Linked DNA regions of Nothobranchius furzeri. The protein of the gene in region 1 binds, or shares a complex with, the protein of each later gene. Links are inferred from orthologs where the notes say so. Each region holds a gene or a part of one and is shown in the gene's direction. Other genes may lie near its edges.

The links.
Region 2: the proteins of stk3 (region 1) and rassf5 are in contact, whole or in part, in a crystal structure (PDB 4LGD), measured with the Homo sapiens proteins. The link is inferred for Nothobranchius furzeri from reciprocal best matches to the Homo sapiens genes STK3 and RASSF5. Residues at the interface, in NP_006272.2 of Homo sapiens: Phe437, Phe439, Leu440, Leu445, Leu448, Gln449, Arg451, Leu452, Leu455, Asp456, Met458, Met459, Glu462, Ile463, Leu466, Arg467, Tyr470, Lys473, Arg474, Pro476, Ile477, Leu478, Ala480, Met481, Lys484, Gln488; in NP_872604.1 of Homo sapiens: Trp369, Asp370, Ala371, Phe372, Ile374, Leu377, Gln378, Phe380, Leu381, Leu384, Glu385, Glu387, Glu388, Lys391, Ile392, Val395, Gln396, Lys398, Tyr399, Phe402, Arg403, Lys405, Leu406, Ala409, Leu410, Ser413.
Region 3: the proteins of stk3 (region 1) and sav1 are in contact, whole or in part, in a crystal structure (PDB 6AO5), measured with the Homo sapiens proteins. The link is inferred for Nothobranchius furzeri from reciprocal best matches to the Homo sapiens genes STK3 and SAV1. Residues at the interface, in NP_006272.2 of Homo sapiens: Trp429, Lys430, Val431, Pro432, Gln433, Gly435, Phe437, Phe439, Leu440, Lys441, Asn442, Leu443, Ser444, Leu445, Leu448, Gln449, Arg451, Leu452, Leu455, Asp456, Met458, Met459, Glu462, Ile463, Leu466, Arg467, Arg469, Tyr470, Ala472, Lys473; in NP_068590.1 of Homo sapiens: Tyr311, Ala312, Arg313, Ala314, Pro315, Asp319, Trp324, Glu325, Phe327, Gln328, Leu329, Leu332, Asp333, Gln336, Leu339, Lys340, Leu342, Phe343, Glu346, Leu347, Ile350, Val351, Met353, Tyr354, Ala356, Tyr357, Arg358, Ala360, Leu361, Leu362.

Annotation. Positions count from the first base shown.
Region 1 is NC_091759.1:1,436,321-1,438,958, reverse strand, and holds part of stk3 (serine/threonine-protein kinase 3), read left to right. Parts: intron 1-1,425; coding exon 1,426-1,619; intron 1,620-2,272; coding exon 2,273-2,431; 3' UTR 2,432-2,638. UniProt on the Homo sapiens protein: Stress-activated, pro-apoptotic kinase which, following caspase-cleavage, enters the nucleus and induces chromatin condensation followed by internucleosomal DNA fragmentation.
Region 2 is NC_091743.1:51,065,544-51,069,793, reverse strand, and holds the start of rassf5 (ras association domain-containing protein 5), read left to right. Parts: upstream 1-1,315; 5' UTR 1,316-1,444; coding exon 1,445-2,168; intron 2,169-4,250. UniProt on the Homo sapiens protein: Potential tumor suppressor. Seems to be involved in lymphocyte adhesion by linking RAP1A activation upon T-cell receptor or chemokine stimulation to integrin activation.
Region 3 is NC_091758.1:19,778,314-19,782,715, reverse strand, and holds the start of sav1 (protein salvador homolog 1), read left to right. Parts: upstream 1-1,470; 5' UTR 1,471-1,623; coding exon 1,624-1,717; intron 1,718-2,787; coding exon 2,788-3,264; intron 3,265-4,402. Other genes in the region: nin (ninein), read left to right, coding at 210-425. UniProt on the Homo sapiens protein: Regulator of STK3/MST2 and STK4/MST1 in the Hippo signaling pathway which plays a pivotal role in organ size control and tumor suppression by restricting proliferation and promoting apoptosis.

The DNA of each region.
Region 1 (2,638 bases):
GTCTCAAATTTTTGACATGCAGGATGGAAGCTGGCAGCAGCAAAATTTAGATGCATGTCTGCAAATTTGTTCAGGGCTCCAACTTGGAGTCAGGTTGGAAATGTGGGCAACTCGCAGCCTAAAGGTCTGTGCCGTCTCCAGAATGCTATGCTTAATCACGTGTGGTCGCAAGCCCTATTGGCATGTTCCAACCAACTTCAAGTTCAGCATTATATAGACACTGGCCATGATCATGTTAACTACAGAACAAAGTTAGCCACAGCTATGCTACTTGAGCTAACACTAGCACCACCCTAAACTACTGCCAACACTATCCCGAGCTACAGCCAATGCTATTCCAAGATACTGCTAACACTATCCTGAGCAACTGTCAACGTTGGCCTGAGCTACTGCCAATGCTAGCCCAAGCTGCTGCCAATGCTAGCCTGAGCTACTGCCAATGCTAGCCCAAGCTGCTGCCAATGCTAGCCTGAGCTACTGCCAATGCTAGCCCAAGCTGCTGCCAATGCTAGCCTGAACTACTGCCAATGCTAGCCCAAGCAGCTGCCAATGCTAGCCTGAGCTACTGCCAATGCTAGCCCGAGCTGCTGCCAATGCTAGCCTGAGCTGCTGCCGACGCTAGCCCGAGCTACTGCCGACGCTAGCCCGAGCTACTGCCGACGCTAGCCCGAGCTACTGCCGACGCTAGCCCGAGCTACTGCCGACGCTAGCCCGAGCTACTGCCGACGCTAGCCCGAGCTGCTGCCGACGCTAGCCCGAGCTGCTGCCGACGCTAGCCCGAGCTGCTGCCAAAGCTAGCCCGAGCTGCTGCCAACGCTAGCCCGAGCTGCTGCCAACGCTAGCCCCAGCTGCTGCCAACGCTAGCCCCAGCTACTGCCAGTGCTAGCCTGAGCTACTGCCAGTGCTAGCCCGAGCTACTGCCAGTGCTAGCCCGAGCTACTGCCAACGCTAGCCCGAGTTGCCACCAAAGCTAGCCCAAGCTGCTGCCAACGCTAGCCCGAGCTGCTGCCAACGCTAACCTAAACTACAGCTGATGAAAAATTCATGTCCTGGTTGAGTGGGTGGGGCAAACCAGTCTTTCCATTGTTGGGCTTTATTATGGGGTGTTATTGGTCACTTATTGCTCCTGTGCCATTTTGAGCTCCAACTGTTTCCAATAGTAAAAACAAAGTTTTTGTAGAACCCCATGATAAAAAGACTAAATATTTGCTCATAAGTTTTCCCAAAAGGCCATTTTATCTTCATAATGTCATCAGATAATATCACAGCTAAAATAGTTGTTTCTGCTGTGGCGTTCCTTTGTATTTCTGTGTAAAACGACCACGCTGAGAGAAAAGTAGAAGCAAAATGTGTTTTTTCTCCTCGGATTAAAAAAAAATCTGCAATTCTGTAAGATGTCATTAAAACGCCTTCCTCCCTCCTCAGGGCACGCCACGTCCCAGCAGCCCATACGCCCGTCCTTCATGGATTATTTTGACAAGAAGGACTCCAACAAGGCGGCCCAGCAGCAGGAGAACTACAACCACAACCAGCCGAAGGAGCAACTGGGCTACCACATCCAGTCCAAAAATGTCTTCCCAGACAACTGGAAGGTTCCTCAGGACGGAGACTTTGATTTTGTGAGTTTCTGAGTGTTAATCTAGATCAGGTCTGGGGTCATTTATGGGCCCTGGGGGGGATTTTGTGTCGAGTTGTGTTCCTTCAGTCGGCTGCTGATGCTGTAAACCTATTTTGAGGAGTGCAAATAAAAAGTAAATCACCATAAATTATTTTTTTGCATTATCTCAGAAAATAAATAAAAATTTTGTGGCCCGTGAAGACTGATAACTTTTTTTTAAGTTTATTTTCATTTATTCACAAATAAAAACAAAACACAAAACAGGTTTGCAAAAATAAAAAAAGAAAAAGGAACAGAAAGAAGCAAAACTTATATTATCTGTTCCTGTTAACCAAAATAAATACAAATGACAATAAAGTTACTATAGTTTAAAAAATGTCTGACCTGGTTTACTCTTAACTTTGGCAAAAAATGGAGAGAAAACAAAAATGCACAAAAAAAATGTTTTTCTTCTTATATTAATGAAAGGAGAAAACGATCAATGCACAACAAAACACATTATGATTTTTGGCCCTCTTCTAGAAAATGTTGCACACCCCTGATCTAGATGCAAACTTTTCACAGACAAGTGATTAAAATAGCAAAGCAGAAGCAGCCCAGTGTGACCGATTTCCTTCCTTCCTTCCTTTTTGTTTTGTTTTTGTTTCCACCCAGTTGAAGAACCTGGACTTTGAGGAGCTGCAGCTGCGTCTGAGTGCCTTAGATCCCATGATGGAGCGGGAGATCGAGGAACTCCGGCAGCGCTACACCGCTAAGAGGCAACCCATTCTGGACGCCATGGATGCTAAGAAAAGGCGACAACAGAACTTCTGAGCTCTGTTCCCATTGCTTCCTCTTGTGGCCTCGATTTTCCAAAGCCAGCGCTGAACTTCTGTCCTGGAAGCCCAACAGGAAATGATCATGTTGTAAATGGAATCACTGATCTCTGAAGTTGGATTGGTCTGAGTTTTTTTTTTTTTTTTTTTTTTTTTACATCTTTCATGTTTCCTCTACACTTCCTCTGATGCTCTTTTTCCAGGT
Region 2 (4,250 bases), on another chromosome or scaffold:
ATTTCAAACAATCAATAAAATGTGAATCTCTGATTAAATGTCGGATGCACAGAGATGTGGGATAGGCCGCAGATGGATGTTTAGTGTGTGTGCTGATACCAACCTCGTTAATGTGTGTGATTGTATTTTTAATAGGCTGCCATGGTGACAGACTGTAGATGAAACAGCCAATGCCCAGTCAGCTGGTTTACTGGCTGCATTTCCTGTTTCTGCCCACTTAAGAAGCACTTGGGAATTTAACATATGGCCTCTATGAGAGCGTTTCGTAGCCTGATTAGGATTTTTGTTTGTGTAAATCAGATTTTCATGTTGGTGTGTTGATCTGTGTTTAGAAAATCATGATCTGTGCCGTCCTGACGGCAGTTTCCAACCATCACATCTGTCAGGATCTGTGTAAGGCAGACGACAGAGATTTTAAAAGGTGAAAATCAAATAAAATATTTATTGTCTTCGTCTTTCCAACTGTTTCAGATTTTCCACTTTTTCTGGTTTATTTGACTAATAAATTAGTAAAGAGTGAATATACACATTCTGTTTTAATATTCCTTTTTGTGTTTTTGATAAGTCATGTTTTTTTTTTCGTTTTCATTGGGAGTTATACCAACATGTAATTCCCCTCCATCAATGGTGAAGATGACCACTATTAGGGAAAGTCCGTTGGCGCCACAGTTCCTTAGAACACCAAAAACAGAAGTGCATGGGATGGCACACTTCAGTGAAAATATACCAAAAAACATTTAAAAATATCACGTGGTGTGGTCTGACCTTTGGGGAAAATAGTCCCCCCCCCCCTTTTTTTTTTAAACTAGCATAAGCTGATGTTGATTTCAGAAAGTGAGTGTAGGAGGAGTGTGTGTGCTGGGGGGGGGGGGGGGGGGGGGGGCTAAGGAGGCTGTAATGAACTGCTCATATGACGCGTTTGTCACTGGAAAATTACAAACACTTTCTAGCCCACACACATTATGTTTTAGTTCTGTTTTACATTAAGATAATATTCAAATAAAAACAAAAGTATTCACTCTTTTCAAGTTTATCTTGACTATTTAAAGAGAAAATATTTTTTAATCTAACATTTTATGTGTTTATGATTATTTTATCTGACTTGTTGTGAATTGCCCTTGGGTGTCTTGAAAGGCGCTTTTATAAATAAAACGTGTTATTATTTAACTGTAATTTTCTTTCATTACAAACTGTTTAGTTTTAACCTTCTGATGATACAGGAAGACCATTTAGTGCTCTGGATGAACCTTGGCTGGTGGGACAGCGCGCGCGCCCATCAGTGCGCCAGGAGCGCGCTCACGGCATTTAAAGCTGTTGGTACTTTGCGTCACGACGCGTTTGTCACTGGCGGGAGTTGAGTTTATAATCGAGGCACGGAGTCAAAACACGCATTTCTTCACACTCCGACCCGCCGAACACACAACCATTCAAGGCGAACGCGACAATGGCGTCTGTGAGCGTGGTGGGCCAGCAGCCCGGTCCGCACAGGCTGGACTCGGAACCGCCGGTGCTGCTCTTCAAACTCTCCGGCACCAAGACGAAAATCACCCTGCCGAGGAAGTCGTCCTGGGAGAAGATGATGTTCACCAGGAGCGGCGATGACCTGGAGCCGGTTAGGACCGAGGAGGCTCCTGGACCAGCCGGAGGAAGAGGGAAGAGAATGCCCAGGGAGGGATGCGGGGCCCCGGTTGCCTTTGATGCGCCACGTAGCCCGCACCCGGAGGACAGCGGCGGCGGCAGGTCACAGAATGGGCACGTCGATGGCTACAGCCACAAATATGACTCAAGTCGGCGGGGGGGCTCTCTGAAGGAGAACGCCATACTGACTCCAAGCGGGAACAAACGGTCACTCCGGCACCGGGACTCTCTGAGACGGAGCTGTCGGAGTGGACACACCGGTCACCAGAGCGTCTCCTCCGATGTGGTTTCCCCCCCGGAGAGCGGCGGTCTGCCGCTGGAGCGGCTCACACAGAGCAGGACAGGGATCGTGAAGCTGGCCCGGACCGAACCTCACCGCACCGAGGCCTGGTCCATCTTTCCGCAAGAGATGGATCCACGTGTGAGGACTGAAAGGGGCGAGGGTCACCGCTTCGAGAGCCAGCCGGTGAACCAGGACTGGTGTGATGTCTGCAGCCGGGAGATCAGCGCGCAGGTGGTCAAGTGTCAGAGTGAGTCAGGCTGAGAGAAAACTCCTCCAGAACATGCATTAGTGTACGGTTCTGATTCATTTAGTATATGAACACACACACACACACACACACACACACACACACACACACACACACACACACACACACACACACACACACACACACACACACACTAAAATGGGGACTTTGAGAGCGAGCCAGTGCTGCAGAAGGACATTTCTAATCGCTTTGTCCACGGATCCAGCCATATAAGCCCGTTATATCGCTCTTTCGACTTTGCCTCACAGACTTAACACGCAAGTAAAGTAGAAAAGATGGTGAATTTATGATGCTGCAGTGGTGAAACGCTGCAAGGACCTGCAGGTAACAGAGAAAAAGAGTCCCGATGTATCTGAGATGTGTGATTTGGCCATTAAGTGACTAAATTAGGCTTTTATTTTGTCAATCAAGACAAAAAAAACTTTAAATTTTATTTAGAAAAAGTCAGGAAACTCCAATCAAATGTAGACACAGATGTTGGTGTTGATCACCCCTAAAGAAGCCCACTCAGAGTGAGGGAAACCCCTGATTTCATGAGTCAGTCTTTCAGGGTTGTTCTCCTCCCACCTGCATTGGTGTTTACAGCTTTAATTTGTGTTGACATGTACACACACACACACACACACAGACGACCTGAAGAGCCTTTGTGGGTTTATTTGTGCACATACTGTACATCCAGTGTGTGTGTGAGTGTGTGTTCATGCTGAGCTAGCATTGTGTCAGCAGCACTCTGTCATGAGGAGGGTGGGATGAACCAAAGGACTGAAGGCGATGAAAGGAGTGAGGAGGGAAAGGGGAACTGATAAGGAATGGGAACACTTAAAGGATAATCCCTTTCAATCCCTCAACTGGGACACTTTCATCGGAGAATAGATGACACGTAGCTTGGTTTGATGTAAAACTGCAGGCAGGCTGAGAGAAAGATCTAATGTGAACAAAGGAGTTGGTCCGGCTCTGCAGAGCTGTCTGATTTAGTGTGCTGTTGGCGAGAGCTCGCTGGAGCGAGATTACTGAAGCAATAATCCCTCCACACACACACACACACACACACACACACACACACACACACACACACATACACACACACACACACACACACACACACACACAGGTTTTCACAACCCTAGAACTTCACTTGTGTTTTCCTTTCTCTTTCTCTCTCTCTCTCTCTCTCTCTCTCTCTCTCTCTCTCTCTCTCTCTCTCTCTCTCTCTCTCTCTCTCTCTCTCTCTCTCTCTCTCTCTCTAGCTTCTCTTTTTCTGGCCTGCAGCCTGGACGCTTCTCCTCTCTTTCCTCTAAGCATCCCTGGTGAACCTCGTGCACGGTCACGAGGGTAAACCACACAGTACACAGTGAGGCATTTTAAGGTATTTTAGGGGAAAAGAGAAACAAGCGAAACTGCCGAAATAGAAGAACACGTTATCGTCTCTCAACTACACCCTGGAAATGACAGGGAATATGAGACGGAAACAAATGAGCGTCTTTTTGTTTTGTTGCTTTGCTGCATTTCCTCTCATTTATTGCCCTCTCTCAGCCTGCTGCGCCTTTGTTGCGTAGGAATCCTGTAGAAACGGCGACGCAGCAGCTTGTCCCTCTGGGACTGTTGTGGCCTTGCCCTGCAGAGGAATCTGTCAGTCAGCTCCCAGTCTCGTCGTCCTCTGGCTTTCAACTACATCTGTGGGTTTCTTTTTTCTCTCTCATTTAGTTTCTGTCTTTATTCCTCTTCTTGGCAGCTAAATCATAGAGTCATGTGATAAAACATCCCAACTCAGCATGTACAAAGACGCTGCAGGAATATCTGAGCCATGTGTAGAGTCAGACTGTTACTGGGCAATAATCTTGTTCTGTTTTGCTGATTTAATAGGGGATGATATGAAAACACACACGTCACGGAGGGGAGCTTCTTAATCCCAGCTCTGAGTGTCTCCTGTCTGGGATTACATCCCAGCAGTGGAGTAATTGGGATTACATACAGAGTCAGATGTCAGATTAATATGCAATTAAATGGTTTCAGGGACACATGCTGTTGTGGATCTGGTGCTCTGACTTACTGGATTAAGCA
Region 3 (4,402 bases), on another chromosome or scaffold:
GTTGATGTAATTGTTCGTGACACCAAAAGGGGGCAGTAAAACGCTGAATTAAACTTCAAATTTAGGAAAGACTGCATTCTTGGATTTAGTAAAACAATTTTTTCCAGTTACTAATCTTCTAATCCATCTGATCTGTATATTTTGGACCAATATGTTTCCAATCAAGACTCAAACTATCTGTAACTTTCTATGTATTTTTTTTCTCTTAGCTGAACAAGAATGGCAAAGCTGATGTTCTGATCAAAGACCTGTATGTGGAGAACTCCCATCTGGTAAAGGCTCTGGAGAGAACTGAGCAGCGACATGAAATTGCAGAGAAAAAGAACTACCTGCTGGAGGAGAAGATCTCCACCCTGAATAAGATTGTACGGGATCTAAACCCGTCTTATCTTCCAGGGCTTTCTTATAACTGTAAATACGCATGATGACATCTCAGCATCTCATTTTCTTTTAATGTTCTCTATGTAAAATGGACTTTTACCTTCAGGGACACCTCTGTAGCAAATCCTACCAAATGGACAAGAATCTGAAGGTTCTATTGCAATTTTTTACTTGGATTTTTGCAGTATTTTTGTTATTCTAAGTTGCTGAACTTGCAAATATCAAGTCATATTTTAGACATTTTATTTCTCTGTAATTTATTATTTTACAAATATCTTAAAGTAGAAACTGTTGTATCATATATATATATATATATATATATATATATATATATATATATATATATATATATATATATATATATATATATATATATATATATATATATATATATATATAATATGAGAAATGTAGCACTGTTATGTATTTTGATACAGGTGTTTTTATCTCATTGTTTATTTGTAAGCAGCCATACGATGAAGGACCAGAATCGGTTTGTGATAAAATCATGAATCGTAATGGAGGTTTTTTGCTCCTATTTAACACTACTTGAAACTCTGCACACTTTTAATGTATGTCAAATAGTAATATTAAGAAAAATAGAAATATGCTTGTGAAACTATACTGCAATATGTAAAGTTACTGTTAGACGGTGCCATTATGAATGCTTGACTTTCTCTGCAGTGATGAACACTAAAGTGAAATTAGGGTGATGTGAAAATAAAGTGTATGAGCTGTGGTTGGTGGTTAATAAAAATCAAATAATGGTGAATATATTAGCATTATTTAGCCATATTCAAAGTTTTATAGTTTTGTTTTCATGGTTTTATTTTCCTTATAGTTGAACTTTTCTCTCTAACAATGTTTAGTTAAAGAGGCAATTATTCACAAAGCGTGTTTACAATAAGGTGAGAACTTGGAAATAAAGAGTATAAAAGCACTAGTTAAAGTGTCCATTGTTTTATTTTTTTCGTGTTTTGTCAACACACTTTGTACGTTTTTGTACGCCTGCTATCCGGTAGAGGGCGCTTTAGTAGCTGGGAGGATCGTAAACACCCAGCCCGGGTGAGGAGGGCCAGCTGTGGGACTGAATCGCTGCAATCGCTCGCTGTAGCAGCAGCTAGCCGGCTAAGCGCTAACTGTAGAAAATGTTCACATTCCGCCCGTTGTTTCCTGCCAGGGCTGCGGAGGATTGTGCCATGACATCACAGCCGAGTTTTTGACGTTTCTGAGCTTTGAGTTATGCTCTCACGAAAGAAAAGTAAAAACGAAGCGTCGAAACCAGCCGAGGTACACGGGAAATATGTGAAGAAGGAAACGTCGCCGCTCCTCAGAAGTAAGCGCAACAAGTAGTCGACTAGTTAGCTAGGGTTAGCATTAGCCTGCTAACTGAAGTTTGCCACTGTCCGCTAGTAAACTGCTCATTTAAAAAAACAGAATAAAGTTTATGGACACTTCTTATCTTGTGTTTTTTACGTTTTTAATTTGTCTTACTTTACGCACGACCCTAACGGGATGCTACATTGTAGTTTGCTGTTAGCTGAAGGCTATGGACTTGATCTGCATTTGAAGTTTTAAGTCGATTAGTTGCACCAATAAAGCAAATTAAATGTTAAATAAATTGCTGGGCTGTGTAAATAGTCATCAGAACTTATGGAGTCTGCTCTTTAAAGGATACTTTAAAGACCAGAGTACTCAGTTTCTGGTAATGACGCAAAACTGTCACCAATGAAGTTTAAAAACATTTAAAACTTGCTACTCTGCTAAATGCATTAGAATCCTGCAGTTTGAAGGTTTTCCTTCAAATATGAGGACTTGTCCTCAAGAACTATAAGAAAACGGACTCTGTCGGTGTCTAAAGTGCAGCAGCTTCTCTGCTCTTTCAGATATGCAGGTATGTATTTGAAATGACACAAAATAAAATGTTATCAAGTGTTTTATGGAGCTATACTTGGACAGTGCAGCCTATTTCCAGAACAAAGTACAACTTGTCAATAGTAAAATAATTTGATGCTAGCCAACAATGTTGGGATGTCTTGATGTGCTGAGACTCTTCAGAAATGTTTCTGCTGCAGAATATCATCTGTTTTAAGGCAGTGTTACTTATCTATAGCTATTAAATTGGATCAAAAGTTTGTGATTAGATAACAAATCATATCCATGTGTAGTAAATCTGAGCCTTCCTCCTATACACACACGAAAGATAATTAAATCTGCAATTATTCTCATCACAAGTCTCATGACATGTTAAATTAACCTAAATAGTTTATTTATTTTACAGATAATTTTACAATTTTCAAGTAAAATGTAACATTGCCAACCATTGCATCCTGGGTTTACCACATCGCCCCTTTGCTGGAGATGCTGTGTTCACCATTCATGATGTTCCCACTTACCTGTTTGCAGATCTCATGCCCTCATTCATCCGTCATGGACCTACTATTCCCAGACGAACAGAGGGGCCCCCATCCGAGATTGGGTCTACTTCCTACTCTGTGGCACCCAACAGAGAGGCTGTGGTGTCCCGTAACAAAAGTGTCCTCCGCACACCTGTACAGAGGCCTCCACATGAGGTGGCACGCAGAGAGAGCCACCGCCTGTCGGCACCTCCATACCTGCCTCGGAGTGTGGGAGACTTGTCCCACGAGTACAGGGGCTCGTCGCAATCCTTCCCCACAGAAGTGAGTCCCATGTCTGAGAACGGGGACGGTGCTCTGTACTACTACCCATCTGACCCTTATTATGAAAACCAGCAGCAGCGCCAGCCTAGGAGAGTCCAGGAATGCTTTCCTGATGACTATAGATATTATGAACACAATGAACACAACTTTCAAAGACTTTCTCACCAACACGCTTCCCCAGCTCCCAGCCGACCCCCCTCAGGTAAGCTTGGCATGCATTTGCTGTGTTCTTTTGAAAGGAATAGTTTGCAATATGTCTAGAAGCAGGTGTATTTTATACATGGCACACACATTCTTGAAGCGGGTCATTTATGACTTGTCAGCAGCAACATTTGTGGTTTAAATAAGAAGCTTAAACAAGAGCAGGATAATTAAAATCATACCAGGCAGTCGGCACCACAAAGTTTAAATAGATATGTTTTAGAGGTCAATTTTAAGATTTTAAACGTTAGGGTCCTATGGAAATGTGCAGCTTGTGTAAAAAGGCAGCTTTGGTGTATGGTTGAATGTTATGGAAAGTTTTAAACCACAAATACAAGCCGCGTGCTTTCAAGCTGAAATAAGCAGTTTTAGTTTAGTTTTTCTAAGAGTTAAAATATTTCCATCCCATTGCCCAACATTATACTATATAATCTGTTCTATGCGTGTCATTTTCATGAGATTAAAAGTGTTCTGAGGTCGCAGGAATTTTCTGTATTTCATCAAACAGAAGAGAACGTTTTATTTTGCGGTTGTCTTGTTGACAACTTGTATTCGTGTTATGACGACAGATCCACCTCGCTCGAGTCATGGAGCCATGTTGGAGAGATGCTGAGCTTTTTAATACCTTTCTATTGGCAGACTAATAATTTGTCCAGAGTCTTTGACTCGACTCTTAAATGGGTATGTGTGTTAAACATCCTCTGTTTGGAGAAGTAATGTACTTCCTATAGGGCTGATTGGCTAACGGCTAACATGAGCACAAACCAAAGTGGATTGCTGCCTTTTTAAAATGACTTCAGGTAGAAAATTCTCACCACTTGTTACAGTTGTTACTACTGAACAAGGAAAAGTTGTTGAACTTAGGAAAAGGTGGAATTGCGATGATTTTCTGGACCCCTTTAATGTTAAACATCACCCTAACACTGAACTCTGACACATTAGATGCGTTTGTTTGAATAACCGTAACTCCACGACGGTTTGTGCAGTCAGAAAAATTCTGACGTTTTTTTAAAAATGAGAAGTTTTGCTTTCAAGTCCACTTAGAGTTATTACGATAAATCCTGAGCAGAGACAGATGGGCAGAAGTCATTAATTATATCAGCTGTAGCAGCGCCATGACAAATAAGAAAATTGGAAAT